Linked DNA regions of Arabidopsis thaliana. The protein of the gene in region 2 interacts with the protein of the main gene of each other region in a pairwise test. Each region holds a gene or a part of one and is shown on either strand. Other genes may lie near its edges. The genes, in order: BLH5, KNAT3, GAI and BLH3.

Evidence for each region.
Region 1: the proteins of KNAT3 (region 2) and BLH5 interact in binary tests that used the Arabidopsis thaliana proteins (3 or more experiments, as listed by UniProt).
Region 3: the proteins of KNAT3 (region 2) and GAI interact in binary tests that used the Arabidopsis thaliana proteins (3 or more experiments, as listed by UniProt).
Region 4: the proteins of KNAT3 (region 2) and BLH3 interact in binary tests that used the Arabidopsis thaliana proteins (3 or more experiments, as listed by UniProt).

The regions. Positions count from the first base shown.
Region 1 is NC_003071.7:11,634,530-11,642,628, forward strand, and holds BLH5 (BEL1-like homeodomain 5), read right to left. Parts: upstream 5,009-8,099; coding exon 4,574-5,008; intron 4,388-4,573; coding exon 4,008-4,387; intron 3,832-4,007; coding exon 3,771-3,831; intron 3,251-3,770; coding exon 2,777-3,250; 3' UTR 2,577-2,776; downstream 1-2,576. Other genes in the region: BSL3 (BRI1 suppressor 1 (BSU1)-like 3), read left to right, coding at 1-63, 139-223, 316-414, 481-680, 764-839, 1,120-1,255, 1,352-1,491, 1,570-1,653.
Region 2 is NC_003076.8:8,732,797-8,741,022, reverse strand, and holds KNAT3 (homeobox protein knotted-1-like 3), read right to left. Parts: upstream 5,080-8,226; 5' UTR 4,816-5,079; coding exon 4,135-4,815; intron 3,860-4,134; coding exon 3,739-3,859; intron 3,651-3,738; coding exon 3,466-3,650; intron 3,389-3,465; coding exon 3,257-3,388; intron 3,179-3,256; coding exon 3,042-3,178; intron 2,948-3,041; coding exon 2,908-2,947; 3' UTR 2,422-2,907; downstream 1-2,421. Other genes in the region: AT5G25230 (Ribosomal protein S5/Elongation factor G/III/V family protein), read right to left, coding at 1-400, 476-544, 616-1,314.
Region 3 is NC_003070.9:5,147,231-5,155,374, reverse strand, and holds GAI (GRAS family transcription factor family protein), read right to left. Parts: upstream 6,394-8,144; 5' UTR 5,962-6,393; coding exon 4,360-5,961; 3' UTR 3,960-4,359; downstream 1-3,959. Other genes in the region: AT1G14940 (Polyketide cyclase/dehydrase and lipid transport superfamily protein), read left to right, coding at 1-49, 320-600; AT1G14930 (Polyketide cyclase/dehydrase and lipid transport superfamily protein), read left to right, coding at 2,340-2,526, 2,630-2,910. UniProt on the Arabidopsis thaliana protein: Transcriptional regulator that acts as a repressor of the gibberellin (GA) signaling pathway. Transcription coactivator of the zinc finger transcription factors GAF1/IDD2 and ENY/IDD1 in regulation of gibberellin homeostasis and signaling.
Region 4 is NC_003070.9:28,297,799-28,306,575, forward strand, and holds BLH3 (BEL1-like homeodomain 3), read right to left. Parts: upstream 4,931-8,777; 5' UTR 4,605-4,930; exon of another isoform or gene 4,153-4,604; 5' UTR 4,093-4,152; coding exon 3,355-4,092; intron 3,277-3,354; coding exon 2,900-3,276; intron 2,823-2,899; coding exon 2,762-2,822; coding exon of another isoform or gene 2,723-2,761; exon of another isoform or gene 2,696-2,722; coding exon 2,297-2,695; 3' UTR 1,988-2,296; downstream 1-1,987. Other genes in the region: AT1G75400 (RING/U-box superfamily protein), read left to right, coding at 1-147, 451-482, 581-1,552, 1,640-1,666; AT1G75420 (UDP-Glycosyltransferase superfamily protein), read left to right, coding at 7,671-7,908, 7,996-8,138, 8,241-8,512, 8,659-8,777. UniProt on the Arabidopsis thaliana protein: Transcription factor that is responsive of the nuclear import of SHOOT MERISTEMLESS (STM).

The DNA.
Region 1 (8,099 bases), on a different chromosome or scaffold from region 2:
GTTTGGGGATCTCATGCGCCTTTTTGATGAATATGGTTCACCATCAACAGCTGGAGACATATCGTAAGTGTGCAGCTAAATCTCTTGCGCCATGCTATGTGTTGGTCTGACATTACTGACTGTATTAATTGTTCTCAGATACATCGATTACCTCTTCTTAGGAGACTATGTTGATCGGGGTCAACACAGCCTAGAGACAATTACACTTCTGCTTGCTTTAAAGGTAGTTTAAAGAGAACTATATTAATGCTCTCTTTTCAGGTATTATTAACGCTTAATAAGAAATGCTATAACGCTCTATAATTGACACTGCAGGTTGAATACCAACATAACGTACACCTGATTCGTGGAAATCATGAAGCTGCCGACATTAATGCACTTTTTGGTTTCCGGATAGAGTGTATTGAGCGAATGGTAGTGTCTCATCTCTGTGAATCTCTTGCTCCACTTTTAGGGTCTCATGTCATGGCTACTTTGCAGGGTGAACGTGATGGGATCTGGGTGTGGCATCGAATAAACCGTTTATTCAATTGGCTACCTCTGGCTGCACTGATTGAGAAGAAAATCATCTGTATGCATGGGGGAATTGGTCGGTCGATAAATCATGTGGAGCAGATAGAAAATATCCAACGTCCAATTACGATGGAAGCAGGCTCAATTGTACTTATGGATTTATTATGGTAAGTTCATGTCTAATGCTGTATCATTCTATGTTGTTTCCGTGATCCTTGTCTCACTAGTATGTCATCTTGTAATCTGTTAGGTCGGATCCAACTGAAAATGACAGTGTCGAAGGTTTAAGGCCCAATGCTAGAGGCCCTGGGTTGGTTACTTTTGGGGTGAGTGGTCTTTTTCTTCTATTTCGTACACTTTGCATTGATTACTGCTCTCTTTCCCTTCCCCTCCTCACCTCATACTCCATTACATCAGCTTGAGTGATCTTTTCTTTCCGCTCATTTTGAGCTTCCTAAGTGTGAAGAGTACTGATTTTGCTAGTCCCTTACCCTTGACATATTCATGGGCTGTTGTTAGACAATTATATTGAGTAATATAATTCTACTTCGCTTCCATAAGTAGTTCTGCCTGTTCTATTACTTACCAAGAATTTGACAACTGCAGCCTGACCGTGTCATGGAGTTTTGCAACAACAATGATCTGCAATTGATTGTACGTGCGCATGAATGCGTGATGGACGGATTTGAGCGTTTTGCCCAAGGTCATTTGATAACGCTCTTTTCGGCAACAAATTATTGTGGTATGTTTATGGAACCGAGAACTCACTCCTAAGCTGGTAATAAGACCTGATCTGATAGTTTCTGACAAAAAATGATCTATATTTATTCCTTCTCAGGTACCGCAAACAATGCCGGGGCTATCTTGGTGTTGGGGAGAGATCTTGTGGTGGTTCCTAAGCTTATCCATCCATTGCCTCCAGCGATAACCTCACCTGAAACTTCACCAGAAAGACATATAGAGGATACATGGATGCAGGTTTTTATCTCAAACAGATACTAATGCCTTCCTTTTTCCACCTGGAAAATGGCGTAACTAAGCATTGATATTTTGCAGGAGTTAAACGTAAATAGACCACCAACACCAACAAGAGGACGCCCACAAAATCCAAATGACCGCGGCTCTCTTGCTTGGATATAAACCCTACAGAAAGAGTGACGAGTGCGAGATAACATACCTCTCCCGAGTCCTGACAGCCGCCTCTAGGTGATCCTCATGTTGTGTACAGAACCAACCAAACCATTCAATTATCGATTGCTATTTACCAACGAGATGGATCAATGAGGGTTTTGAGTTATCGAAGAATTTCACAGGTTAAGTTCATTCAAGTCAGATGATGAAAGGGTAAAGAATTTGTAGTAGTAGTGAGGAGGAAGAGTATTTGTTTTGTAAAAGGGGTTTTCTCATTTTTATTCATATATTTGATTTTCTTCACTTTGCTTTTTTTCTTAGTATTGATTATATATGTGGTATTGGACTTTTGGTGAGGGACACAAACAGGAGAGTGAGTAGGAGGAGGATTTTAGAGGTTGTTTTAGTTTTGGGGTATTTATGTATCATAGAGAGGTGTGTTTGGTCGTTTGTATAATGTCTTCATTCATATTTTTCAGTATGTAATTTGTAGCAACGGTTTGTGTGTTTAATGATACAGAAAATATTCTCTCCCATTTTTTCTATCATATTCTTATTTTACCATCATTTTTAAAACATTTCTGTATTTTGTTAGTTTGTAAAATAAAAAATAAAAAATTGGATATGGAAGACAAACAAAAAATCAACTCAAATAAATAAATCCATAACTTCTTGGTAGCCAATTAACTTGTGGTTAGGTCACTAAGATGATCATGTAAAACAACAAAATAATAATTATAGCTAATATATATTCATTGTTTTGTGGAACAAATTTTAGAAAAAAGACAGAAGAGGTGGGAGATTAAGTTAGGGTTTTTGGGGACATACACACACACACACACACATACACGTTCATAAAGTCACAACTATTAGCTAATATGGATCTCACGGTTGATCTGATCTTCATTTACACTCATACGTAACAATACTAACTAAAACCTGACTATCGAAAACCATATATATTTCTTTAGCTTAGTATTGTTATCTACATTTTTATCATAACCTTTACTTAATCATCTCCTCTCTATCAATCTACACACATCAACCCATACGAAACCATCCAAGGGCCAAAACTATACACAGAATATACGTAAGCAACAAGCAGAAAATATATCATCCCCACTAATTATTTCTAATCCATGATTTGATAAGTTGAAGATGAATATATGGCCGAGTTCTCAGTTCCATGACTTGTTGACTCAAAATGAATGTTATTAAAGGTTTGGTCACAAGAATGAGGCAGGCCGAGGGAAAGGGAGACGCTGTTTCCATCCATTGTGTGATAGTTTTCGAACCCTCCGTTGAAATTGATGAAGTTCGCTTGATTCATGTGTTGCTTCGTGAACCTCATGACTACGCTGCAACTTGAGGATGAATTTTGCCTAGGGGTTTCAGTTTCAGTGAATCCTTGACGAAAGGCGGGTAGGATCGTGTTCGAAGATTCATTTGAAGTTGTATTATTGTACGGTTGCTTTGAAGATGAACCTTTGGTACTATACCGGTCACTTCCTTTTCTGCTTTCTTCAATATCCATTTCTTCCGAATAAAGTTCCTCCACCAGTGGCTTCCACATTCGAACTCGAGCATTAATGAACCAATTTGACACCTACATCCATTTTACACAAGATACTATTAACAATACTTATTTTGATTATATATAATCATGGGTGCTAAAAGAAAGTATTCCATAATATATATAATTACTAATTTAACCAAAATAAATTTGATTTACTTTACAAAGGATCACATATATGATATTTCTCGTATGCTATCATCGCTATTTTCATTAAAATAATTATAATAAAATAAATATACATCATCTATCTAAATAAATTTACCAAAATATATTTGGTTTACCTGCTTTTCTTAGAATTCTTGGGTACGTTTTTGTTTTCAGACTCGAAAAGAAAAAAAAATAGAAATAAAGAGATATCTTTCTAAAAATATTTTTTTGATCGGAATAAAATTTGTTTGAATCTATATATATATTCGGTTTTACCTGTAGATTATTTATTCTTGATAGTCGGTGTTAGATGATGTCATGAAATTGTATATGTACTATGTATGAGACATCTAACATTAAGAAACTTAAGTATGTCCAACTTCTGATAATCGAAATCAATTACCTGACTCTTAGTAAGGCCAGTCTGTTTGGCAAGCATTACCTTATCCAAATCCCTCGGATATCTATACAAACCAAAACAAGACACAACTAAATCATTAGCATGCATGTCTATACAAAACTAAGTAATGATCCTAGCTTCCATATCCTTAGTTAGTTCCCTTTGCTTCAAGGTCCCATCATTCTGATATATCGACAATAATCGTAACAAGAATTAAAGATAGAAGAAAACGTTACTTACGGATGAAGAAAATGCTCAAAGAGCCAAGAGCGTAGAACGGAAACAGCTTTTTCGGGCAAACCTCTCTGCGGTCTCCAAGCATTTGAATGGTGATGTGCCATCTTTCCCAACTTCTTAAGCTGCTCGTCAAATTCCTTTTGTCCCAAGAGCTTGTTTATTTGCTTGATTTGCAAACTTATCATGTCTTTTACAGCACGAAACTGCTTTGATATTGTTTGTAACGCCATATGTGTGTATGAGTTTGCTGAGCCTAAACCCGCAGCTTGCTCAAACGATGAGATTATAGTCTGCATTTGGTCATGGTATTGCTTGTATCTCTGTTCCACCTGTGTATAATTTACCAAATTCATTTCCCAAATCAATTTACCAATCTTTGAAACCTTTATAAAGTATCAAATACTTAACATGCAATAACCAAATATATGGACTGAACTTGAGTCCCGATCTCAAAGTAACAGAAAGTTTATTGCCATTATATATATCACCATGGTTGGTTTGTATATACAAAGATCTTATTATTATTATTTGTGTATCACATATTATATAGGTAGGTATAAATAAGTTACCATTTCACCCATGGAGATGAGTTTTGCTTTCTTCATTTGCAAAGCAGCTACGCCAGGCTTATAGCCACCATTGATGTCCTCAACTCCATAAATCGTGGACTCTTTACTCACCGGTCGCTCTTGTTTTGCGCCGTGGCTACCGTTTCCAACATTGACAATCTCATTGAGTAATTCTTGAGCCGCTTTCAAGTAGATCGGAGCCAAAGCCCTGAAGACTCCTCCGTTTGAAAAAGTGGAGATGGAAGAATTTCCTTGTTCTATATGACCTACTTCATCTCGAGGTCTATATTGTTGGGAACCAAAGCACAAGTTGTAGAAGTGATCGTCATGAGCATTAGTGGTCGTTGTCTGCTCGCGAAACGGATTCAGAGTCATCATAAAAAGATCAGAAGAGTGTTCTCTCATTTCAGATTCTCCAAGAAAGAAAGCAGCCATTATTCTGACAATTAAGCAACAAAACTTGCAATTCAAGAAAATATCAAATTATAATATAAATCGATCTAAAACATTAATAATATCCAAGAGCTTAGGAAGAAAAGGTAAGCAAAAGATGATGAAATAAAGATGTGACAAATCAAGAAAATTAAATTACCGTTTTTATTTAATAATTAGAAATGATGAGCAGCAAATTATGGGTGTGAGTTTCTCATTGTCTTCTTCGACGTGTCTTTCTCTCTGCTTGCGATGATCATCTAAATATCCTCTGCTTCATTGATCTGTCAACTAGAAAGTCCAATAAGTCGCCTTTATAAATAAAATGTGATTGGACTTTTCATAAATGGGAAAAATATGTACTTTTTTCTTTTATATCTCATTGGACAACTAAACAGTGACACTCACGATTAATATTTTTCTTGTGATGTTTCGAAGTTCAATGGATTTTGACCAATCACCAATTCTAGCATACATGATATATGCACGGCATGCTACTGCTACATATCCAATATTTCTCACTTGCATCTTAGGCACGATTCACACCCAATATCCAACCTAGCTAAAAAATTTCAATGTGGTCGCAAATGTAGATCTACGAGACAATCTATCTAAGAATAAGTATAGCTACCATATATATATTTTTACGATCACACTTCTATCATTGTCATTCGTTTTACCATTTGTATACTATAGGTGAAATAAGATTTTAATTAATGGTTGTTGACGAGAAAAATATATTACAGATGGTAGTATTGTCTTATCATTTGATGTCCGCACGTTTAATATTTGGCAACGCATCTATATGATCCCTACATGAATAACTTAGTAGGTCAACATTTATTATTAGTATATTGTATTATTATTACTAAATTAAAATCTACAATGAATCTATGTATATGTGTATAGTTAAATGTATGTGAAAAGATAATAGAAGTGGGTCAGCAGAACCATGGAGATAGTTGAAGAACGAGGAAACGTCTACTTCCACTCCACACATCAAAAGTCTTCTTTTATGTATTTAGATAACCATATTAGTTTGCGACAAGTCACTCTTTTTCTTCTTTTCCACAACTAAACAACTAATTAACTGTATTGCAATGCAAATCTATGTTTAAAAATTTATCAGCCAAAATAAATAAAGTTTATTTGCCTGGTTCCGCCTTTATCTTCAAAATTTCCCTATTCCTTTCATATAGTTTTCTAAATCATATTTTCTCTTATGTTTTCTTTGTGTTGTCAGTACTTGTGTTTGAAGATAGTAATGGTACATTGGAAAATAGACCACATGGTCCACAATTCCCGGAAATTCATTACTCTTCGAATTAAGCATCCATCCATAGTTAAAACACATTTTGACATAGTAATGTATCTAGAAAATAATTTCGAATACTAATATAAAATTTGGATTTTATTAATAGATTACATTTAGACATTATTTTTTGGTGATGCCATTATCTGCCTGTATTCCTCGGAAAGCTTCCCATCACACACCGAAATAAAGCTAGACGTATCTTAATTGATATCGCGATATGTGTTGAGATCAATTTTTTTTCTATTATTGAATGTGATAATAACTATTTAGTTTGGTGGATTGAGACTGTGTATGAGAATTCATCGTGTCGGTCAGATCCAAGTTGTATTTATATCTTTCACTTTATGATAATAGTATTTTTCCTTTTTAGATCAATTAAGTATAATGCGACATTGCTATTTATTTACATTCGTGGATTTGTGTCAATTCGCCATTCGTCCCGAGAGTAAGTAACTGTAAAAACAAATAAGAAAAAGACAATGCAATACAACTTTAAAAAAGTGTGTTATAAAAGTTTAACTAGGATGAGGAAAGAAAGAAAAGTGAAGTGAAACAAACTGTATGTTAAAAGCCGAAACTAAATCCAGATTATATTTATAATATTTCTAATCGTCTTGAAAACAGCTTAGCAAACTATACGTTCTTTTTACTGTTTGGTTTTCAGCTGTTTAATGTTTGTTCGAATTTTTAAAAACGGCTTAGCAAACTATACGTTCTTTGTATAGACCAAGTGAATTTTTAGCTAGGTAATAAAAATGAGTTTTGAATATATTTAAAATTTTGATCTAGAGAATAATTTTATGCTTTTGTTTTCTCTGAAAGCTTATGACCTTTAGAATAAATTTCAAAACCAAAGTTTCTTTGATGATATTTGTGGTTGGTCCACAAAATATAGCACTAAAACTCAACTTTGGACACGATAACATTGAAAACATATTCTGTTGATTATATCATAAGGTAAGTGAAACAAAATACTGATGGGATATTAAGGGAATGACTTGGACATTCCACTAGGGTATTGAAAAAGTTGGGTTAGCATGAATTAATCTAAAGCCATGTTGGAATCAGAGAATGACAAGTGTATTCTTTACTTTGTCAAAACCATCATAACTGATCAAAGATCATCATTAAAACGTTAAGATTGAGTTATAAAGCTAATTAAAGCTTAAATTACTAATTAAAAGCGCCATTAGAGCAACGTAAAAAATAAAGTAAAAAGAAGTAGGTCTGAAAAAAGTAGCCATCTCGTGTGGACTGCATTATCATGCAACTTCTAATCTTAGTTAGCCATTATGGAAACAATTCATTACTTTGTCATCTTATAAGAACCTTTTGCGTATTGACTTATTGTTACTCAAATGATGTTTTAAGAGATTGAACATGATTCTTTTTAATCACTTGTCGTTTGCAAAACTTGAAGAGGTAAAATCTTTCTATAGTATTTTGCTCCTACTCTAATATTGTACGGTCACCCGACTGTGATAGAATCAATCCCAGACTCGTGGCTATCTCTAGATAAACTTTTTTTCCAAAATGACCATCTACTTGACACATTGCCCGAACTCAACTTTTTTCGTCATAGTCTCTAACCTCATAGTCTAATTGACACATCTACTTAGATTCTTTCCAAGCCCTAAACTCTTTCACAACGAAATTTATTTGATATCTAGTGAATCTAAACACTACTTCATTCCAAAATTTCTATAAAAACTGCATCACCAATGGGAATATTATGACCCTGTTATTACTTTTAATTTTAATTTGCATTACTTTTAATTT
Region 2 (8,226 bases):
TCTTATGTTCACCTATCACTTGGCTGTATATCTTGTATAGAGGCTCCAGAATAAACTGAACAAATGCTCTTTCTCCACCACCTACTGGAGGACTTGTATTGAATACCCTAGTATCAGGGTGATAATATACATCTCCCCAAAGTCTAGATGCAAACTTATCCACGTCCATGGCCACACCATGAAGCTTGGCATACATTCTAGCAAAAGATTGTAATGTGAAGGACCATCCGGCTGTACCACTGGCGAAACATACATTTCCAGCTGCAGGGTCTATAAGAGGTAAGTCTGCAGCATTTGTTGAAGCAGCAGATATATGGTTATTAATGACTTCAATTGTATACCTCAGCTTGTAGTAAGCATCCCTTGGAGGTAGTTTGAGCTCAGTTATGAGCCTGTCAACCTGTTGGGCAGACAAAAAGCAAAGGTCAAGCAAATGTATGAAAATATAAAATTTCACACTTTAGGCATGATGTACCTTATTGATCACAACAACAATAGGGAGATGATCCTGGATTGCATGCCGTATAGCTCTCTCTGTGTTTACCTGAAAAAAGATTAATAGCGTTAGTACTACAAATAGTATACTTGAAAAAAGAGAGAGTAAAGACTAGTTACCATGACTCCTTGAGCAGCATCAACAATGAAAACAGCACCATCAGCAAGTCTTAAAGAAGCAGTCATTTCGTCAGAGAAATTGACATTTCCAGGTGTATCCATGATATTGCACAGGTATGATTTGGATCTACTGTCCTCAAGGACAAGAGACATTGGAACCGCCTTGATAGATATATTTCTCTCCTGCTCATCGACTCTTGTGTCCGTATATCTCATATGCTTGTCGTTTTCAGCATTAAAAGTAGACATACGATGCGTCTGCTCTACCAACATATCCATGAAGACAGTTTTGCCGTGCTGGAGATGCCCCACAAGAGCAACATTCCTCACAAGCGCAGGATTAGACATGAGGCCGATAAGAAACAGTGTTGACACATACGTTGTTGTTTGATCCTTGATGACCCCCACCTCAAATCTAATATCTCTAACGGGTTTGATAATGGGTTGCTCAAGAGACTGCTCATCTTCATCCATAACCAAGGTCTCAACATCCTCACCATAAACCTCCTTAGCAATAGGGTAGTACTTCTTATCCTCAGGAAGAACAATATTTTGGTTCTCATTGATAGTGGTAATCCAGCCATTAGAACCCCCAGGCTCTTGGAGATCTTCATCTTCTACACTATCATCACTATCTCTGTCAGATTCAATCTCAGGTCCAATATAGTTACCACACTCACCATACAAGCTACCATCCATCTTTATGTCACCTGTCAAAAAGGAATCTCATGAACTAGCAATCAGAATTTTGTAACGGCCAAATCAAGCACAAAATGTCAGAGACGAACCGGTGGGGCGAGAGAGCGAGAGGCGGTGCGAAAGCTAGAGGAAAATGCGGGTTGGCTCCGTGATAGGGTTTGTCGCCACTGTTTCTGCTATGTGAACGGAGTCGTCGTCGGAAGATTTAAATAGGTCTTTGATTCAAAATAGCGCATTTTTAGATTGATGGGCCAGGTCCAATATCTGTCAATCGGCCCAATTTTGTAAATTGAAACGTCTAAAGTGTAAACCAGAACGTAAACCGGGTTGTATATTGAAAGCTGCAATTTGAAGAAGAAACAAAGCATAACAAGATGGTGGTGGTTATAATGATTACATGAAGACAGTTCTTTACCCTACAGTTGGTAAAAGACCTAATTTGGCTTCTCTAGTTGGTGGGTGATAACGGTAAACTTTTGAATATCACTGTGAAGCATCGTCCAAGAGACCAAAACTCCGATTATTATTTGAATTTAGAAGACTAACACATACTAATGTTAGACTTCGTTTATCAAACCATTTATACAATCCAAATGACAATTCTCTAAGTTAACAACTTTGATGTTCATTACAAAACTACTTATATGAATCTACTTTCCTAGATTTAATCTAATGTACTAATGGGCTTCTCATGAGACTAGTCTTTGAACTTTGTATGGTCCTCTAATAGAGAGGCGACCAAAATACTTAAGGACACTCTAATTATCTTTGTTAATGTGTGCAGAATCTCTCCGTGATCGATAGAAAAATCTCGCCGAAAACTTACAGTAACTTGTGGCTATCACAAACGTGACAAACGAAACAACAAGATGAGGATAAACAAACAATTTTGACTAGAAAAAAGAACACGTTTCAAATTATTACAATTACAAAAGTACGCAGCAAGCTACGTTATGTAAGATGGGGTATGTTTTATTTTTTGTCGTCATCTACCATGTATAATGTCTTTTACTTATCAAGCCAATATCACGAGTTGGAATGTGACATCGCAATAAATACTACGAACTAAGCGGATAAGAATCATAAGATGGGTTAAGTACGGTTAATGCGAAACATATACTGTATAATAGTCACATAGATTAAGCTAACCAAGTGGTGCGATACAAATTAACATATGCACCTGGTCAATGCGTAACATATACTAGTAGATTAAGAAAACTTGTGCATCCCAATGTTCTCCTCTCTCACTATCTTTATTCACAAGATATATTATGGATGATGATGATGATTATCTGATGGTTCATAAAAAAAAAACTCATGCAGACAAACAAACAAAAAACATTAAACAAAAGCCTGCATCTTCAGTTTTCATATTTTCTTTTTGGTTTGTGTGCTACTTAATAAAATATATGGGCATAATCACATAACCAAACTACGTTACTATGTAATTGCACAAAAAGTTACTTTCTAATACTGTCCCCTCTCTCTGTATAATCCAAACTCCTCCATAAAATTCTCAACTTTAAATCCCTAAAACCCTGCTTTCAAATCCCATCTTCCACCTCCCCAATTCACATCATATGTTTGTTGTTTCTACGCGAACCGCTCTCTTCCGCTATTGTCACCTGCATTGCTTTCATCAGACAAACAAAAGTTTCAGTCTTCTTTGAGTCCGATCCATAAGTTTTTCGGTTATGTTACAAGACTATATTAAAGTATAATAATACCTTTTGCGTTTGTTCTTCAATACAGTGGAAGAAGATGGATTGCTATGCCAGTTCCTCTTTCTCTGATTGATGAACCAATTGTTTATCTGTTTTAGCTGCAAACCTGTCTCTTGCACCAACCTCGCCTTATCTTCCTCCTACAAACCAATATTTGGTTATGGCTCAATGAATGAACTTGAAGAAGTTATAAAGAGATGTTAGATGAGTGAACTCACAGTAGGGTAAGGCCATTTGGAATGAGATTGCCACCAAGCTTTGAGAACAGAGGTGGTATCTCCTGGTAACTTCCCAGCTCTTCTCTTCCTTAATATCTCCTCTCTTATGTCTACTATCTTCTCCTTGTAACCCTTTTCATCAACAAGACAAAGCCCTCTACATTGTTAGTTCATGAACTAGTTCAAAGAACAAGTTTGTTGATTATTACCTGTTTGAGTTCATGTTTAAGTTCTTGTCTAACTCTTTCCATCAACGACCTCTCACTCTCAGTAGGAATCAAAGGACCAAAACCCAACACATCTAATCCCCCATCGAACATATTAGCATCACTCTCTACTTGTTCATCTTCATCGTCAGACATTGTTGCTCCCATCCCTTCTCCAGGAGACACTCCTAATCTCACCAATAAAACACAAAACTTGTCAATGTCATAAAACTAACTATTGGATTCATGAGCTAATCACAGGATTCATTTTCTCACCTGTTAAGCTTTGAAGAGACTGCTCAATCTCCCAACAAGCCATCACAGCTTCCATTGCATGAACACGCACATGTTGTTGCAATTGCTCTTTAAATGAACACAGTAGCAACACATAATGTGTCTACACCATAAAAAAAACATTAATCAAACACACAATAAACACAAAGAACAAAATTTGTATTTTCTTCATCATCATGACCATTATTATATCATAAGCTCTTTTTTTGGGATTTTAGTCTTGTTTATCCCTAAAAACACAAATCTTGATTTTAATATTTTAAGATTTCAAAAATCAAGAAACCTAAGTCGGTGTGTATTATTAAAATTTGTGCTAAGTATAATTATGAAATCGTTAATTATAAAATTATAGAACAAAAAAATCTGAAATTTATATACCATGAACTGGTCAAGTTCTTTATCGTCGCCGACGAGACCTTGAGCGGCGGCGCCTAAAGCTGAGTATTTAGCGACGACGTGTTGAGACTGAGCAAGCTGAGCATCGATTCTCGGAAGCTGATCAACCGGAGTCGCGATTCTCAAACAAGCAACGTGCGCCGACAAAAGCTGCTCGTAAAGAGGATGCGAAAGGATCTCCGCCTTGTGTCTCGCATTCTGCCAGCTCACTACTCCATCCGCCGCCGTAGCTCCTCCGCCGTCGTTTTTGTTTTCTCCACCGCCGGTTTTCATCTCTCCCTGAATCATAGTGTCTGCTCCTCCGGTGACATCATCGATCCCATCTCCGACTATGGAAGCGTTGTTGTTGTTGTTTCGTTGGAGGAAAGAGGAGGAGCGAGATAGCCACTGGTTAGCAGCGGCGGCGGCGGCGGCGGAGGAAGGAGAATCGGAGCTGCTTGCGGTTGTGGTGTTAGCGGTGGCTGTGTGGAGGTTGAGGAAGTTATTGTTGTTATCTGAGGAACGAAGAAGCGCTGTGTTTAACCAATTAGGAGGCGGTGCTTCTTGGAAATGTTGTTGCTGTTGCGGAGGAGGAGGAGGCGGTTGCGGAGGTGGAGGTTGGTGTTGGTCGGTGAAATGATTGAAGGAGAGGTCTTGTGAGAGATGATTGTGATGAAACGCCATCGTTTTGGTTTGACCTTTTTTTTTTTGTTCTTTTTGAATTTTGTTTCCTGTTTCTGAGAGGGAAAGATAAAGAAAGAAGGTGAATCTCTGCTGCTTCTATGACGACGATTGTTTCATATGTTTCAATTATCACCAAAAAAAAAAAAAAAGACACAGAAACTTTTCTTAAAATTGGAAAATAATTGGTTTTTGTGGTGTGTATGTATGTATCTGAGTATATATGTGTGGGTGTGTTCAGAGTTGCACAGAGCTGAGAGATCGAGAGATGACCATTTATTCTCATATTTATTCTTTCTTATTTTTTGCAACCTATTTATCAATATAATTGAATTATTATATGGAATTTATTAGATAAAAAAATATTCCTTCTCTATTCCTTATTATTTAATTTTTTAGAGGAAAAAAATTGTTTTAAAAAAAATAATTTTTAAATTTTCTATACATTATTTATTAGTTATTATTGATAAATTTTTAATTTTAAGATAAATAATTGAATATCATTGGTTTAGAATTATAAAAAAATATAAATCACAAAAGATAATATGTTTATAATTAGTTTTAATATGTTTTTTAATATATGTGTTTTTTTAGAAAATTAATTTAAAAAAAAAAACTGAAAGATAGTAAAAACAAAACATTTTTTTAAAAATCGCTTATGAGAACTTTTATTTGTTAAATATTTTTCTAAATGCTAATTAAAAAGTAAGACAAAAATTGATTTTTTTTGTTAAAGAAAACAAAAATTGATTTTTTTTGTTAAAGAAGACAAAAATTGATGTCACCTCGTATAATCAAATCAACTGATAAAATCTTTTTTGATTTAACTAAGAATTTGTAAACTTTCTTCTATAGTGATATTATTATTGGGGGAAAGATAAAAATCCGACATCATAAATTAACCATAGAAAGCAAAAGTATTTAATAAATCAGTACGCTACATAATAAACAGTGCATTTGAGAAAATAAGATAATTTAGTTATGGTTGACAAAAATGTATTTTTTTTTCTTTTCCAATCACTTTGGTCCACATAGACCTAAGAAAGAATAAATATAAAAGTAAGTGACTAATGAAACAACAAATAGAAGATTAGGTCACGACAGAAAATTAATTAAAGAAAGTAGGTCGTCATGGTTCGATCTATGTCGTTAAATTTTAGTGGCGACTGTATTTATTAAGATCTGACGGCTGCGAAAGGTCGTTGCCTTCTTCGACTGTGTTTGATTTTTTTTATTGTTGGGAATAATAAATGTATTTTTCCTTTTTAAAAAGAGTTGCTACGTGTTGTGTTTTAAGACGCAACGTATCTATGATATGAAGAAGCGCGTGCGTTTCACGTTCAGATGTTAGTGTAATTTTATGGCACTATGAAACAAATTTAACTTATTTATTTATACAATTATTTTTTGCTTCACGCCTTTACCTATTATAAATCCTTCTCGTTTTATGTAATGAAGTTACGAGAAATTATTGAAAACAAAAAATTTAATCATGAATTTAAAGTTACAATTTTAGGTTAAAGATTTGAAATAAAACAATCTTTTAAGAATTTATTTATATGGATTTAAAAGACCTAAGTACCAGAAAACAAATTAGCTTATTTGTTTATGCACACTATTTTTTTGCTTCACCCTTTCACCTTTTTAAAATAATAATAATCATTTCATATAATATAATTTGAGAAATCACTGGTTCTTTAAAATCACATAATTTTCTGAAATCACAGTTTTTGGTAAATATAATTTTTAGATTTTTTTTGGAGTGAAAATTTTCGTACATGCTACGAAACAGAAATTTGGTATAAAATTTGATGGTAGTATATTCGATCGTCACAATAAAAGTTATCGTATATTTTTTTATTTATTTGAGTTTGGTTAAAAACTTAAACGATCAATTAATTTAGAGATTTAAACTTAATTGTGATGAATAGCGTCCTTTTGGTAAATTTTTAGCATTTAATAAGAAGTGAGACGCAAATAGGTCTAGGTTAACTCATACTATAAATGTGTGTTAACATAGTCACATATATAACTTCATCTTTGGGCTGGTTCTTATATTATCAAAACCGTTTTTATTTAGGATTTGAATGGTTATGGCGGTTGGGGCGGATAAAACCGTCAACGGATCATACCGTTTTTTATTTATTATTTATTAATTATAGTTCGTAGTGATCTAAAAAAAATAGAAGAAAACCGCAACGGACCATCTGCAGACCATTTTTACATACAAATAAACTTGGTCTGCAACGGTTTTTTGTCTGCCAGATAAACTAAACCGCAAACAAATTATACCGGTTTGTCCACACTGCATCCATCCAAAGTCTTATTTTCAAGAAACCACTTCATCAAATGTGTCCAATCATTACATAAATCAATTTATTTTATTCACAATAGTTATGAATGTCGAGCCACATGTCATCTTACTCAACCAAAAAAACGCCGAAGTTGTCCCAAACTACACGTGTGAAACGCTGAATTTTAAACATGCACGATCATACATTACATATTATATAATTTTAGTATAATGTATGTCCATGTAGGAAAGTTTACAAAAATAAAAATTTATATAGTTTTAATCTTTTCGATTCATCATATCTCCGATTTTAATATGTACGATAGTAAAAGTAATTAGATATTCTAGATCAATGATGAAATCAACAGTTGAAGTACAATTTTCCTAGTTAGAAAAATATAGAAATTTTCTTGATGTGTATAATTGTAATTACTGATGATAACACATGTAAGTTTTATATGGTGAATTTCATCTCTCTATAATTGAATAACACATAAGTTTTTTTATATTCTCTCACATCTTTCTAAAACAAGGCATTATAGTTTCACAATCCAAAATATTTTGTGCCGACGACAAGTATGTTTAATTTTCTTGGTACCCACTACAGTTTCTTCTAATATCGATCATCATTTTTTGAGTGATGTTTACGTCCTTCTATTGATTTATATTAATTCTAGTCAGAAATGGTTTTATTATTGAAATATTCTCCATCATCTACTGAATATTCCTACAAGTGAGTCATACTTAGGTTTATTGAGTTATTTGGATGCAAATGGATAGTAACCGGAAAACTAATAAACAATCCCTAAACAATAAGCAACCCACAAATCTAAAGCGACGCGATACGTAACAACCCCCGTAAATGTTGGAGCGTGATTTCCACGTCACTCCGAGGAGCGTCAGAAAATCATAATCAGCTAAAATAAAAGATATTCATAAATTAAATTAAATCAATTGCTTGTCGTAATAACATTTTTATTTGTAATGTAAATTTTATTTTCAACTAATCATTCACTAGTATTTATAATTATAAGAGATGAATAATTTAACATGAGAAATACAAAAACAAAAAGAAGAAGATAACTCAAATCAAATACTAAAAACTACATAAGAATGAAAGA
Region 3 (8,144 bases), on a different chromosome or scaffold from region 2:
GGTGACTGGGACTCCCACGGCTCCATCAGATCATGGAATATCACATGCGGTCTCTACTTTACCTTCTCTCTTTTTTTGTAGTATTTTGGTAGTTTTAGATTTTTGGTCCATATATTTTTTGGGGCCAAGGAATAAGGTAGATAAGTCCTCTCCCAGATGTTGGTAGCTAGGCCTCGAACCTTCTCAAACTCTCCTCCAAGAGTTTCAAAGTAGGGCTACCGACACCGGGTGTCCACTCTCTTTAATCATGTTTGGTAATACGAGGATTGACGATCGGCTAATTTGGTCTAGCATTGTGTGTGTGTGTGTTTGTATGAAGATGGAAAGCCGGAAGTCTTCAAGGAGAAGAGAGAGATAGACGACGAAAAGATGGCGTTGACGTTGAAAGGGCTAGAGGGTCAAGCGATGGAGAAGTACAAGAAGTATGAGGTTATCTACCAGTTCATTCCCAAGTCGAAGGAAGGCTGCGTCTGCAAAATCACTCTCATATGGGAAAAGCGCAACGAAAACTCCCCCGAACCCATCAACTACATGAAGTTTGTCAAGAGCTTAGTTGCTGACATGGACGACCACGTCCTCAATGGCCAGAACAAAGCTTGAATCCCCTCTATGGTCATCGTCGAATGGTCTTCATCTTTATGTGTGTGTATCTTTTGTGTATCTTTACGTACGTACGTGACTTATCATCCGCCTCTTTCCCCCTTTATACATGTTATGCTAATAATAATGGCGGTCTTGGAAGCCTATGTATCATCTCTGTTTGATGATTACATGTTGTTATGATGTTTTCGTGGTGTAAGTGTGTGTTCGTAATAAAATAGTAATTGTAAGACGTAAAATAGCCCATAATATTAGGATGTATATATATACCCTCAATCGTCATTATCTATCACATAAGTATCTTCACTAAAATAGGTAACCTTTTCAAGAAGCAGATCAATTGACAATTTAATTTTGCTCCAACCTTATCATCTCTTGTATAATTTTTGGATGTGCATTTATGAGAATCTCAATGTGATTTATGCGATCACTCCTTAATTTGTTTGATGATTGGACTCGCAACACTATGAAGTTGGTATAATTATAACGTTTCATCTCAACGAAGTGACTAATTCATCTCAAAGTAGTCTTCATGGAAACAATATGATCCCTACCATGCAGTGCTAATGTTTAATACTAGGTTTCCTTTTCTTTTCATATATCACATTGAGATTCTCATAAATGCATATTCACTATGATCGTCATAATAAACGTCTTATACAAGATCGTAAAAAAATTATTCTCGTTTACCGTAAAGTCTTTTAACTAAAAAAGGGGAATATTGAAATATTCATGCATGTGGGTGTGATAATTAAGAAGTACGAACGATATGACCAAAAAAAGATAACCAAGTAAAGACTGAAATTTAGAAATCTATAACAATCTGCAGCTTTTACAAAGAAAGAATAAACTAAACATAGATACCCTAAATAGATTATTCTAATACGTACTAAAAAACTTATAAAACCTGAACACTCTACATATATTCTTAATTATATTATATACAAAATACTAATATATATTGGATAATCATTAATCCCACATTTTATCATAAACTCGGATCAATCCAATTCCAACATTGATTCATATGTGGGAATATCAATATATGCATAACTAATTTTGATGGACACGTTTCGTATCTAATTGAAGGACAGTTTTCAGTTGTTATATATTCATATTTTATGTAAATTAAAGATACTTCTTAAGTCGATGGTTATAACATAAAAGGGTGCTTGTGTCAAAACAAAACAAAAATAGGTTCAAAGAATCTATAAGTGTGAGGTAATTTGGACATGACGACACATGGGATACACATGTGGAGCATATCACTATGACATCTATGGTCATTAAATAACGCAAAACCCTCTTGCCCGTCTATTTCGCCCTACTTTTCTTGCTTCTTTTTATCCAGTTAATAATCTGTTATGTGTTATCTATTAATAATGACATATTCCAACCAATTCAAACCTTATATTCAAGCGCTTACAAACTATCCTTACGTATACATTTCTTTAACTTTCACTTAAAATAAAACAATTATTTGGTTAAAAGTCACTTAAAATGGTACGGATGGACTAAGCATTTCATATTCAGGATTTAGCAAATGTTAAACGAATGAAATCTTTATCTTATAGTTTAAAAGATATAAACCACCTATAATTAAATCTTTATCGCCATAATTTCGTTTCTTGTTAGTGTTGTGGTGAGTCTTAATTTGTATATAAAGGAAGCGCAACACTTGGGTTTTTCCATCGAATAAAACACTTGACACATTTCAAAAGAAAACAATCAATCAAGAAATGGCGATGTCAGGAAAATACGTGGCGGAAGTACCGCTGAAAGGGTCGGCGGAGAAACACTACAGGCGATGGAGGAGCCAAAACAATCTCTTCCCGGACGCCATCGGCCACCATGTCCAAGGCGTCACCGTCCACGATGGCGACTGGGACTCCCACGGCTCCATCAAATCCTGGAACTACACACTTGGTCCATACTTTACTCTATCTCTTTCTGTGTTTGGTAACACGCGAGGATTGGATGATATCTATATATTCTAATGTGGACTAAAAATGTGTGTGTGTGTATGAAGATGGGAAGCCGGAAGTCATCAAGGAGAAAAGAGAGATAGACGACGAGAAGATGGCGTTGACGTTCAGAGGACTAGAGGGTCATGTGATGGAGAAGTACAAGAAGTATGAGGTTATCTTACAGTTCATTCCCAAGTCGAACGAAGGCTGCGTCTGCAAAGTCACTCTGATATGGGAGAATCGCAACGAAGACTCCCCCGAACCCATCAACTACATGAAGTTTGTCAAGAGCTTAGTTGCTGATATGGATGACCACATCCTCAAGGGCCAGAACAAAGCTTAATAACCCTCCATGGTCATCGTCGTAAATCATCCTCATGCATGTGTCTTTTGTACTTGTCTCGTAAGTGCCTTTATCATCCGCCTTTACATGTTATGCTAATAATAATGGCGGTCTTGTTAAGCAATTGTATTGTATGCTTATGTATACCATCTCTGTCTGTGATGTTATTATGCGTGTTCGTAATAAAATAAGTGTGTTAGTTATACGATTTTGTGTAAGATATAAAGCGGATGTATGTTAGTCATTTAGTCTCATGACTCTCATTATCCATCTCCTAATAAAAATTTCATCAAAATAGATAAAGAAAGTTTTTCACGAGGGGAGAGAGATTGATTAACCAAAATCCAAAATATCCATAATTCTGAAACAAAATCAAACACATACAAAAGTAAATATGCAAATATATTTTTCCGCCTAAAGACTCTCACGTCTCCTCCTCTCCCTTCTATAGAACGTATAAACCCTAGATTTTAGAACCCTCTGTTTTGCCAATTGACCAATTCCCACCTCAAAGTTGCTATCTTTTTTTCTGAACCATTTCTACTTGTTTTGGGATTTTTACTAAGGCCCATTAGCACTTATTCGGCCCATATATGTGGGGTAGCAAAAGTTGACTATAATCAACCATCAAACCGCCCTCGTGCCCTTTTTATACATCACAAAGGATCAAATGTCACAGTCACTCAACTATATAATACCAAAGGGTCACGAGTGAAGTCTAGTCTACTACCACCACTGTCGAATGTTTTTTTATCTCTTAAACAAGTTCGTAAACCAACTTCAATTGCTGTCAAAAAAAAAAAAAAAAAACTTCAGTCTTTTATTTACGAAGAACATCAACATCTCCCATTTTTACATATGTGGAATTATTTATGTGCAGTTGATGTTGAACAATATAATCCGCCTACTCTTTTTTTTTTTTAGGTGACATATATAATCGCCTACTATATCTTTCAGATACATGTATTAAAGGTGGACATTTGTATCTTTTCGGTTTCTTTTGTTTACTTTTCTTCTTTCAAATTAACAAATAAGAAAACTGAAAACGACTTAGCATTGTTAAAATAATCTGGTCCACCTATAATACCATGCACATTAAAAGAGCATATTCATGAGAATCAGCACATTATCATAAGAGACAGTTTAATCAGGCTCATTAGTCATTACAATGAATTTTATAGATGGTGACACTCAAGATGATTTTATTTCAACCAATTGCACATACTTGGTAACACATACTTCTATTTCTGCCTATCCAATTTACCCTCCAATGTCACATGCAAAAAAAAAAAACTCTCCAAAGCGAGATTAAAATTTTTCAATTACCTAATATAATGAAAGATAAGATCTTAACAAGTGACAAAGGGAAAAACAGTAGGATTTAGTTTGGCTTCGGTCGGAAATCTATCATCATAACCGGTTCAACAGATCAATTCATTGAGCCACCATCTAATTGGTGGAGAGTTTCCAAGCCGAGGTGGCTATGAGCGGTCGTGTGTGCCAACCCAACATGAGACAGCCGTCACTCTCCTCCACCCGATAACCCTCACCGCCGTTGAACAGAGCCAAAAGCATACTCGCTTGCTTAAACGCATTCGAACCAATATGTGCAGCCGCAAACCCAGCAGACCCGAACCGGTTCCTCCACTGACTCAACGTTTCATGACGCTCAACTCGGTCAGGTCCATCACAAGCCACAACGTTGCAGATCTGTTTACCCAAGTAAACCTCCGACATGACCTTGTCTTGACCACTCGGTACACCTTCCAACGAGTCAAACAACGTCGAGTAATAATGCAACGACTCAGTAAACCGATCTAAGAAAATCGGACTATTATGGTTCGATTCCTGCTCAACCACAGTGAAAATCTCCGGTTTAATCTGATTCACCACACCAAGAACCTTATCGATCGCACCAGGTCGTCCCAAGAGCTTGTGAAGCTCGAAAACAGAGTTAACCGCAACAGATTCAATCTCACTTGGTCTAAGCTCAAGCATCGAAGCATCAAGATCAGCTAAAGTGTTAGCCACAAATCCTCTGTACTCAAACTCAACGTGAATCGCCTCAGCTAAATGAGCCAGCTTACACCCAACTTCATGAAGATAATCGAAATTATCCGGTGCCGGTGGACCAATTCCGGTTAACCGGAAAACAGGAGGACCACCAGGTCGAAGCGCAAGAGCCTGCATAAGCGCCGGCCATTGAAGACCTTGACTCATAGAGAAATCAATGACATGAACTCTTTTCTTCCCTTGAAAAGCTTCGAGAATCGCTTGATTCGCCGTGAAGTGAGCGAACTTGAGATAAGGACAAGTCTCGTAGAAGTGCATCTGAAGAGTATCGGAGAGAGAGTGGTCGATTGGACTCTGCGACGGAGAGAGACGGTAAATCCGCCGCGCGAGAGCTTCGGCGAAGTAAGTAGCGACTTTTCTCATCGCTCCGATTTGAGAAACGGCTAAGAATCCGATTTGCTTCACCAGAGCTTCCGCTACAGTCAGATTCTCTTTCTGAACAGCTTCAGCGCAAGCCAAAAGCGCGTGAACGAGACGCACACCGTTCTCCTGCGAGTCAACCAGGACAACATGCCGAGTTGACTCAGCCGTCGCTGTAGTGGTTTCCACGACGCCGTTTGAGCATTTCAACCGCTTGTTTGTAGTATACGTATCTCCTCCGCCGCCTTGGTTAGACGAAGAAGCCGAATCGATAGCGAACTGATTGAGAATCGCGTCACCGGGAATAGCTTTAAGATCGTACTCGGCGTTAGACGACGGAGGATTAAGGTCGGTGAGCATAGAATCAAGCCACGTGTAAAGCTCCGCCGGATTATAGTGAACAGTCTCAGTAGCGAGTTGAGAAAGATCGTCTTCTTGAACATTAGACATCATAACTTCAAGCTGCTCGAGTTTCTGAGCAACATCAGCCATTTCGGATGACCTAACCTTGTAACCAAGAACAGCTAGAAGCTCATCCATGCCGTTACCGTCGTCTTCTTCATTCATCATCATAGTCTTCTTATCTTGATGATGATGATGATGATGATCTCTCTTCATGGTTGGTTTTTTTTCAGAGATGGATCTAAAAGGTTTTTCCTTCAATGTCGGATCTAGGTTTTGCTTTATTTGGGAAGGTGAAGAATCTTTAGCTTCGGGGATCGGTTAGGACTGCTTAGGATTTGTTTTTTCACTCCACTACCACTTCTAATAACAAAATAAATTGTAAAAATAGAGAGGAAGGTTATAAGAAAAAAAATGATTATTATTGTTGAGAATAAAAAGGCTCGTGATGGGGCTCGATGTCCGATGAATCATGGATCAGAGGGCTAACAGCAACATCTACAGCTCAAAGAGATAAGGCTGAAAATCACACACACACCAAAATTTGTAATTAGGGAATATATTGAAATTAATAAACTAATATATTAGGGAATATATAGCTTTTTACAGATTAATATTTTCTAAAGTTAGTATTACTTTAGAGTTTAGATGGTCATACAATTTTGAACAACTAAAAAGATTGTCATGCAACTAGTGGTACAATTTACTTTTTGTCGCTTTTTTAAGGAGTTTGTTGTGTTGGTTTTGTGTGATTGTAACTTTTGATCTAAAATACAGATATTTTTTATTAAAAAGTTTAAGTATTTAGTATAGTCTTATTAAATAAAATGGAACTTTTGTATTGGGAAAAGTAAACCATCATTAAACCCATTATGGAAATTAATATTCCATTTTATTAAAAAGAGATTGAGGGACTATGACGTTTTCCCGTTTTAGTTTTAAATTGTTAAAAAATTTAAATTGAATATAAGAAAAAGCTCCTTTTCTAACATTTTTTATAAGATCTTTAAAAAAAAAATTAAACCTTATTAGTATTTATCTGTAAGAGTGGATAAGAACTAGTAACATTTTCATTAATTACAAAAGACTTTTATATTTGTTCTTTGGATGGGGAACTAAAAGCTTTCATCATACTGTTTGAGTGCCCTAGCCTTCCCCTTTGTAATAATGTAGGCATGTTTCGAGCAAGGGGGTAGAAAAGTAAACTGCAGTATATATAAACCCATTTCAAAATAACAGTAATTATCAAATAGTAGCATTCAGTCTTTACACTTAAATAGCATTCACTATTTTGTCAATTACATGTTACGATAGAGTTAAGTTGTAATCGTTTCTTTTTAAAGTATAGTCTCGATTTTTTTTGCTATTTGTAGATAAAATTGGTTAATACAATTGTAGTATGTACTTAACGCCGTCGCTTACGGCAACTATTCTTAAATCATAATAAGATTACACAGATCAGAAAATAACAATTAGTCCCACTAATTAATGTCTTACAAAAATATTCGAAATTATTTTCGTGAAAATCAGAACTGACAACATGTGATTGGGTCCACGTGTAAAACGGGTCCCTTGAACTTACCGTACGCCATTTAGACTGTGGTCCCAAAGATCCCATGTGATTATTACACGTCTCTAAAGTATTTTTATACGCTAGGCCCTGATGAGAATTGAGATGACCATTCCCACCGTTGACGGCTCTTCGTATGGACCATCTCAATTAACGCTGTGCTACATGGTTGGTTACATGTTCTTGTGTTCCACGAATAATTATGCTCCGTTACATCATTTTCTCACAAAAAAAAAAAAACTGTTTATATTTTTAGCCACTTCACAAAAATTTATCAGATGGTATAATGGATCATTTCAATGTATATATACTATTACTTACGGAGTATAGAGTGACGTCGATAGTATTGGATTAAACATGCACCATGTCAATGTGTAATGTGTTACAAATTCGGTAGGTATAATTATTAATTTACTAGCAAAGAGAAAAAGACATCCAAAGTTTTTTACTTTGATTGGTTATCGTCATACTTGATATCAAGTGCTCTCGTTGATTAACCAAAAAAATTAAAGGTGCACTCATTGATTCCTTTATTTATTTTTTATAGTAGTAGAAGCTAACAAATGAAAATGGTGTCACATCATTCGTAATGAATATTTAGTCTGCTTTTTAGTCCAAACATTATTTTTTCTAAAGAAGTAATACAAGTCGTGATATATGTTAATTACATAAACAAGCCAATTTTAAACAAGTAAAATTGGATTACTGAATTCTTGAAATACTAGGCATTTTTGGAACAAAAAAAAAAAGGAAGAATAACTTGGGTTTACAAGATTGTTTGAGTCTTTTTGAAATAGTGAAAAAAGTGTCTCTTAACAAATTTCAATGA
Region 4 (8,777 bases), on a different chromosome or scaffold from region 2:
TTAGTATGGATAAGATGTCATTAGGCTCTGAGAGAGGAACTTTATCTGAAGGAGGAACCCCTCCTGATGGACATTTAGGGACTCCTGCTTCTCAGAAATCAGCAACTCCGGAAATGAGCACCAATTCCATGGTTCCACCTTCTTCAGGTAATTCTTTTTTTGAGACAATGACACTATTGGGAGCTAATTCTGACTGTAATCTAACTCTTTGCTTTGAGTCGTTTTAATTTTTTCCTTGAATCTTTTCGTTCCACCAACGTGTATAAGTAAAGCTTGCTAGTTTTCATGATCTCTTCACGGTGTTGAGTAGATATAGTTGACATAGGGATTTTTAAGTTGAACGTTAATGACTATATTCCTTTTTGTCACCAAGAACCATGTTATTGTAATGAATTAGTCTTGCGTATCGTATTCCTGCTGTGTCTTATGTTATGCTTTTCTGTGCGGCAGGTTCATCCTTGGCAAGCAGTGATCTCATTGAGGTGAGATGATCGACTTGACTCTAGTGTTCCTCTCGTGGAAGCTTTCTTTTCTTTCCTTCGGTGTATCTTTAACCCTTGTTGGATCTTCATTGTTTCAGGTGAAGAACTTAGTTGACTCACCTGGAATTGTCCCTTCAGCTCAATCGAAGCCTTTGTTCTCCACGCCTTCTCTTCCCAATCCAGTTAGTGATCTTTCATCGGCTCACACGCGTTTGCTTCCTCCTAAATCCACACCATCAAGACGGGCTCGGCGTTCACCTGGGCATCAGTTGTTTAGGCAGGTTTCTGATAGTCAAATTTTAGGACTGAAATCCCCAATTAATAATTACTCAATCTCAGAAGGAAGGTCGTCCTTTGTGCTTTCGACCTGTAGCAATGACTTCGCCACTGGATCCCAGTACGCATCTTCTGAAGGTGGCTGGTCTATGAACACTTTTTCTGAGCTCGTGGCATATTCTCAAAGGGATAGATGGTCCTTTGATAGCGAACACTTGGGTTCTGGCAGACGGAAACTAAGTGGTGGTAGCAGCAGATTCTCATTCTCCCCTTCCGTTGTTGATCAGCAGGTTTGTGGAGCTTGTTCAAAGTTGCTAACCGAGAGGTCTTCTATAGCCACTTTTGAGCTCCCAATCGCTGCTGTTCTTGCCTGTGGTCATGTTTACCACGCAGAGTGCTTAGAGACCATGACTACTGATATAGAGAAGTATGATCCTGCTTGTCCCATATGCACAATTGGGGAGAAACGGGTTGCGAAAATAACAAGGAAAGCCCTAAAAGCGGAGGCGGAAGCAAAGGCAAAGCAGTACAAAAGATGTAAAAACCGTGTGGTAGATAGTTACGGTGAGAGTGAATGCGATGAGTTTGTATTCCAGAAAATGGGGAAACGAGAAGGCAAAGCTCTCAAGCTGGAAGCTAGTTGCAGTAGCAAGAGCTCGTCTAATAAGTCATTCTTGAAATGGCACTTTGCTTCTATCAGCTCCAAGTGGAATAAACCCTCGTCCAAAGACTCTGCATTGAAGAAGGGATTCTGGTCTAGACATCGAAATAACCGGTCTTCTTCAAGCATAGAGGTAAAGATCCATACACTGAATATTCAATCCTGATTTGCTAGAGAAATGAAACATTCCTGTAAATAACCAATAATACACACATTTCAGGGACTTAATCAGACATCTCCGCTATGATGAAACCCCTCCATCTGGATCAGAGGCATGCGGGTTATTTAGGAAAGCTTTGTATAAAACAGATATTCAGGTTCAGCTATAGCCTTTAGAGCTGTGTTTTAACTTTCTTTTTGGATATTTTGTGTGTTTCATTGTAACCTGTGGGGATAATTTTCAGTAATGAAACAAACTTGTCATTTTAGAAAAGATTTGAGAATTTGCCAACCATTTACAGAGAATGTTTAAAAAGTTGTGTAACGTTTCGTTGTTTACACAAGTTTCAGAGGAACTCAAAATCTGTTCCAATTCTTGTAACAAAATGAGGAAATTAGATCAAATCTTTTTCAGTTTGTTCACACTTAAAAGTATTGTTTATACCATCATGAAGATTATAAACAAAAACATTACAATATCGGCTTACCAAAGTGTACACAAAGCTCAATTTTCATATACAAATGTAAAGTCTAACACCTAAAGTTTTCACAAAATCTATCCTTTATATATGCCACAACAAATATTACAGATATACATATTTGTATAACCCCTATCTATAAAAATGCCAAGAGCGCATTTTCTTGCGCTTCAAGAATCATACTCCCCCAATCAACTGGCATTGCCAGTTCTTAAGCTTGTGAAAAGCTCAGGAATCTTTTAGACAACAAAGTCGTGTAATTGATGGGGATTAGAATATCTGCCATCTTGTTGGTTTCCAAGGCCAACGTAACGATTGTAATCATCAATACCAAACCCATGATAGTTCATCAAGCTGTCGTAATCTCCAGTAGTAGCACGGTCTGGTTTAGGATCTGCAAAGACTAGGTTTTGTTCTGCATCAGATGTATATGGGATGTTGTTGTTGTTGTTTCCCTGATTCTGTTGTTGCGAAGACGAAGAGTCTTCGTGTTTGAGCTGAGATGTTTCCTGCATTTTTTTGGTGTCTTGATTAGAGTTAGAGAGTAACTCTGCTGATTCTCCAAACTCTTCTTTATACATCTCTTCAATCATTGGTTTCCATAGTCGAACTCTCGCGTTAATAAACCAATTTGCAACCTAAATTGCCAAGAATCAGAATACCACTCATATAAAAGCAAGACCAAAGATTGAGCCAATAAGAACCTGGTTTTTCGATAGTCCTGTCTGCTTTGAAAGCATGATTTTCTCTGATTCTTTAGGATATCTACAAAAACGATTGAAATGGTTATCAATGAAGCAATGAGGAGCAGAAAGAAAGTGTCTTACAAACAACAAACTTACGGATGAAGGAAATGCTCAAAGAGCCAAGCTCGAAGTATAGAGACAGAGTTTTCAGGTAAGCCTCTTTGTGGTCTCCAAGCTGGTCTAACCATTCCAAGTTGTTGATGCAAAGCTCTCTGTTGTCTCAACCGTTGATCTAAGTACCTAAGACGCGGTATCCTCTCTCCTTGTTCATCAGAAGTCTCTCTCTCCCCAAGCTTCCCTCTGATCACCTGAATCTGTTCTTTTATCGCGTCGCGTAAACAGCGGAAATGGCGAGAGATTCTATTCAGAGCTACGGATGTGTAAGGCTTAGCTGCTCCAAGACCTGTTACCATCTCGAAAGACGATGCTAAAGCTTCCATTTGATGATGGTATTGGTTATACCTTTTATCTACCTGCAAAAATGTTTTCAAAACTCAAAACTCCAAAGTCTCTCTCTCACTTTAAAGTATTCAAATTTGATTTAGTCTTACCTCATCCACCATTGTTAAAAGCTTGCTCTTCTTGCTCTGTAGCTCCTGACGTTCTGAAGGAGACAACTCCTGCGATTGAGATTTATCATCTTCTGTAATGTTATCACTAGACCCATTGTGAAAGTCTTGACCTTTATCATTCTTCATCTTCTTATTCCCCAATTTCAAATCTTTCCTTACACTAACAACTTCATCAAGCAATTGTTGTGTTGGTTTAAGGTAACGAGATCTCAGTACACTACTCACAAACCCTGATGTCTCGTAACGGTAATTGTTGTAGAATCCAACACCATTATTACCATTGTTGTTGTAAACAGAGGAAGGTAAAATTTGATCAGAGTGATGCTGATGAACACTCAAGCTCTTCCCATTCTCATCAGACATAGTAGAAGGATTAAGATTATTGTAACTCAATTGGTTCGAAAGATTCTGGTAATGATACTGAAACGGAGAAACAGAGACAGCTGACTGGATCTGATTACCAAGACTTAAAGAAAGTCCTCCACCGTGAAAGCTTAGATCGTTACTTGACACCGTTACGTTTCCGTTGACGGCTACGTCGCTTGTTGGTGGGATAAATACCATCTCGTTGTTTCGAACATCACCGGAAACAATCTCGGAGAAAGATGCAGCAGAGGAAGAAGAAGCTTGTTGTTGTTGTTGTTGTTGTTCGTTGAGGTAAATGGATTCTTGGTAAAGAGATTGCATGCCGACACTATTAGGGTAATACACAGCCATTGGATAATAAATCGAAAGTGTTTTGTTGTTTAAGTGAGTTTCATCCGATTGATGTTTTGTCTGAAAAAAGAGAAAGAGAGAGAGAGAGACGTGTGAGTTTGAAACTGAAACTGGATAAATAAAAGAACAATTCTTTAAAGAGGTTAAAACATCTTAATCTCTATATACGCCGCAATTACAGATGAATTCAAGAAATGAAAAAAATATGAAATACTCAATTTAGGTCAAGAAGATATCAAAACCCTAGGTAAAGTTTCCACTTCAATTCAGTGACGCAAACAAAAACAGAGGATGATGTTTGAAATCATGAAAGATATAAAGTTAATTTTTTTTAAGTTCTGATGATTTCATACTTTTGTAAGAATTTAACAGAGACGAAGATGATGATAAAATTCGAAAAAGGAAATCTTTTTGTAAAAAGAGAAACAGAGTACAACAAGTCAATCATATAGCTTTGAATCAAGAAGCTACTAATAAGAACAATCGAATTATTATAGTTAAAGAAATGAAACCTGAGAAAGAGCTAGATGATAAACTATACAAAAGAGAAAGAGAGATTGTGGATGTGGCTGAATCAGGGAACAGAGAGATAAAAAGGGAGAAGAAGAAGAACTTCGAACAGTCGATGACAAAAAGAGAGAGAAAGAAAGAGAAGACACCCAATCCCAAGAGACGATTTTTATTAAATTCCGATACTATTTTAAAACTTTATTTGGCATTCACTAACAAAGAACAGAACCAAACCATCTTATCATTGGAACCTCGACAACAAACCCAGATTTTTTAATTAATGTTTAATAAAATATCAGTGTATCACTAACCTATGGAGAAATTTGACAATCTCTATTCTCTACCAGTAATTCTTTTTTGTTTGTTTTTCTATTCCAACCGAAGCTTCTATATTAAAATTAATAATTTTTTGTTGGTTTTTTTTCTGTGCCAACCATTTAGAGAATAACACGCGTGAGCGGAAATTTTCATATTTTTTTTCCTTTTCTCTGATAGGATTATTGTTAGATAATGGAGAATATTTATACAAATGCGACTTTTTATATGCATTTATATTTCAAGTTATCTGATAAAACAAAAGAATATTATTGGAACCAGAAGGAATACTGTGCAGTGTTGTCATTGACTTGACTTGGTGCTTATATTCAAATAAATATAATTAAAAATAAAGTATGTTTTTTAAAATGAAGAAAAGAGTTGAGTTTTCGTATTCTATGTTTTTATAAAGTTTAATTAATAGCTTGGACATAAATTCAAGCAACCGTTGAAATTTTTTACTATTAAAATTTTCCACCAAAGCTTTGTTAGATTAAATTAACTCAAGCAATCTCAAATTAGTTGTGGTTGTGATGATAAAATCATGGGTTAGTCTGAACCAACAGATGCTTTTATTAATTTCTTTACATAATTGCAGATCCCTGGTTATAAGCGAACGAGAAACATGTGTTACGTGACATGATACTTCATAACTAATCTATGATGTTTTGATGTATAATTGTTAAATTATTATAACGACGGAACTCTCTAAAAAGATTGTGATCAAAATTAAAATTAAACATCTTTTGAGGTCTCCTACTGTTTATACGTTATATACTTGTTTCTTCGCGTAATACATTGGACACACATACTCTTATTAAGTGACGTGCAAAAGAGGAAACTAATTAACTCCATTTTTTCAATATCTTCCTATTATTTACATATTAAAAATAAAGATATAAGTAGAATTGTCAACAAATCAATATATTGAATATAAAGTAATTAAAATTACTAAAGTATCCCTAGGCCTAGAGAATTTTGATTTGCCAGAAATGTTGCTTTGAGGAAGAAGTGTTGTGTCTGCTCAATTGCTTAATTGAGGGATTAAAGGACCTTAACAACCAGTTGGTGACTACCCAATTTCCTTACTTGGAACGAAAAAATCCAATTAGTTGACTAACAAATAAACATATTTTCTTAAATAATCAAGTGATTCATTTGACCTACATGAAGAAAATGTATTTATACGCAAAACAATAAAATGAAAAGAAAAGTTATGATGGGTCGATTCCATGTCCCAAAGGATCTAAGGAGGTTGTGTAATAAATAATAGAAAAAGTAGAATTCGAAAGAAGATGATGAAAAATGAAATAAATAAGGTAGCTGTGTCGGACGCGAAGTTGGTGAAAGTGGCCAAAAACGAAAGACTTGGACGCCAATTTGTTTCGTAGAGACGTTCCTTAACGGAACGAAGCTAACGGCTTTGTGTCCATCTTAATAAATGTTATTCTTATTTCAATTTCTGTATATTTCGTTTATTTCTTTTATTCTTTAATGTTTTTTTTTGTTTTTGGTTGAGTTTCGGTTTTGTCATAGATTGGAACAGCCGACACAAACCTTTCAAGGAGAATCAATGTGTTACAACAAATTCTTTTTTTATGAAATTTTATATATTTATGAGTAGATTATTTGTTTGTTTTTAAATGTACAACTGATAAACCCTACACACAGCTGGTTGAATATGGGAGTATATACAGTGGGAAAGTTTGAAAGGATCAAATATTTTTAACTTTCTAAAATAGGTTAAATGAATGTGGTTTTCTAAAGCTATTTATGATGAGTATTCTTATGAATAATAATATTATACATATCGTGAGTATATAATTTGAAGAAGATGATGAATCGATGATGAGTGATGATGATAGTGCTAAATGAGGAAATGACGAGTAAGAAATCAACAGCTTTTGTTTGGACAAAAAGCTTTTTGTACACCTAGCTATATGGTATGACAGCTAATAATAATTAATATCCTTAAGATATAATTAATCGCAGTTGTTAATCATAAATAGTCGGACCGTTTAACCACATGAGTTTTTCCTATTTTCAAGAGCAATCTGGTTAAACTACATGTAAATGGCAACAAAGTAAGAGTTTATGGTACGGTTAATTAGATGTTCCCAGGTAAATAGTAATACTACAGTTCACAGATTAATATGAGTTTTGCGTTACACTCAAGTCTCTATCTGTATAGCGTTTGAGAAATTATATATGCACGATCCACAATTTATGATCATAAATATTTTGTATTTAAACTAACAAGGGAAATATTGTTGTTCTTGCCATAAAGATTGATTCCACCAGTGAAAATACATTTTCAAAACATAAAATAACGTAGCACACAGTAAATTTTCAGTGCATGAGATGTGAAAGTCATTAGTATCTTAAACCTCATTAATCGTGATACAAACTAAAAGTGGAGACTGGAGTTTCTATGTTAATGAACATAATTGCCTTTTTAGAGCCCATAATAATATGCGGGTTTAAGTGGCCCAGAGGGATTAAAAACGGCAAGACGTTCTTCCAATAACGGCGTGCACTGTGAAACCTTTAAAGATCAAAATTTTCTTTCAAGGTTCTTCTCAGTATAACTCACTTTACAGTTCTACTCAGAGATCCAATTTCTTGCCCATTCTCGTCTCGAATTTGATTTTCAAAGGTTTGATTTTTGAGATCTTTAGCTTAGTTTCGACGAGTCATTTGCGAAGATCTAGACTATTGAAAACCTTAGGATGTGTCTTTAGCAAAGGAAAACAATGGTCAAAGCGTCGACGATGCAAAGGAAGAGATGGGCACTGATGGTTTTGTTGTTTCTATCTGTATCAACAGTGTGTATGATTCTCGTGAGATCTAGCTTTGAAACCTGTAGCATTAGTAGCCAATTCGTGGAAGAAAAGAATGGAGAAAGCAGCGCCGCGAAGTTTCAATCGAATCCTCTAGATTTCATGAAATCGAAGCTCGTTTTGTTAGTATCCCACGAGCTATCACTCTCAGGTTCTGCTGATTTGATTTCTAATTTGATCTGGGTTCTCGAAAAAATCATACTTTTTTGAGGTGATGATTGATTTTGTGTGACAAAAGGTGGACCTTTGCTATTGATGGAATTGGCGTTTTTGTTAAGAGGAGTTGGTGCTGACGTTGTTTGGATCACTAATCAAAAGCCACTTGAAGATGATGAAGTTGTCTATAGTCTTGAACACAAGATGTTGGATCGAGGAGTTCAGGTTCTCTCGTAGTTCCTACCAATAGACTTCAGAGTTTGTTGGAAAGATGTTGTCTTGAGCTCTGTTAATTGACAAGTTCTTATTTTTGGTATCTGACTTCAGGTTATCTCTGCAAAGGGTCAGAAAGCTGTAGATACATCTCTCAAGGCTGATTTGATTGTTCTTAATACTGCTGTGGCTGGGAAATGGCTTGATGCTGTTCTAAAAGAAAATGTTGTTAAAGTTCTACCTAAGATCCTATGGTGGATTCATGAGATGAGAGGACACTATTTCAATGCTGATTTGGTCAAACACCTCCCCTTTGTTGCAGGGGCCATGATTGATTCGCATGCAACAGCTGGATACTGGAAAAACAGAACACAAGCTCGCCTAGGGTATGTTTCCTCTTTGCACCTCCTGCTTCATGTGAATGATATACAGAAAACTAAGATATTTGTGTATAGTCTTGCCTCATTTCAGCTGGATTCACCTGTTTTTTCTTCTTAAAGATTAACATTGTTTTATGACTATTGATATACAGGATTAAAATGCCCAAAACTTACGTTGTGCACCTAGGAAATAGCAAGGAATTGATGGAAGTAGCTGAAGATAGTGTTGCCAAGAGAGTTCTCCGTGAGCACGTCCGAGAATCTCTTGGAG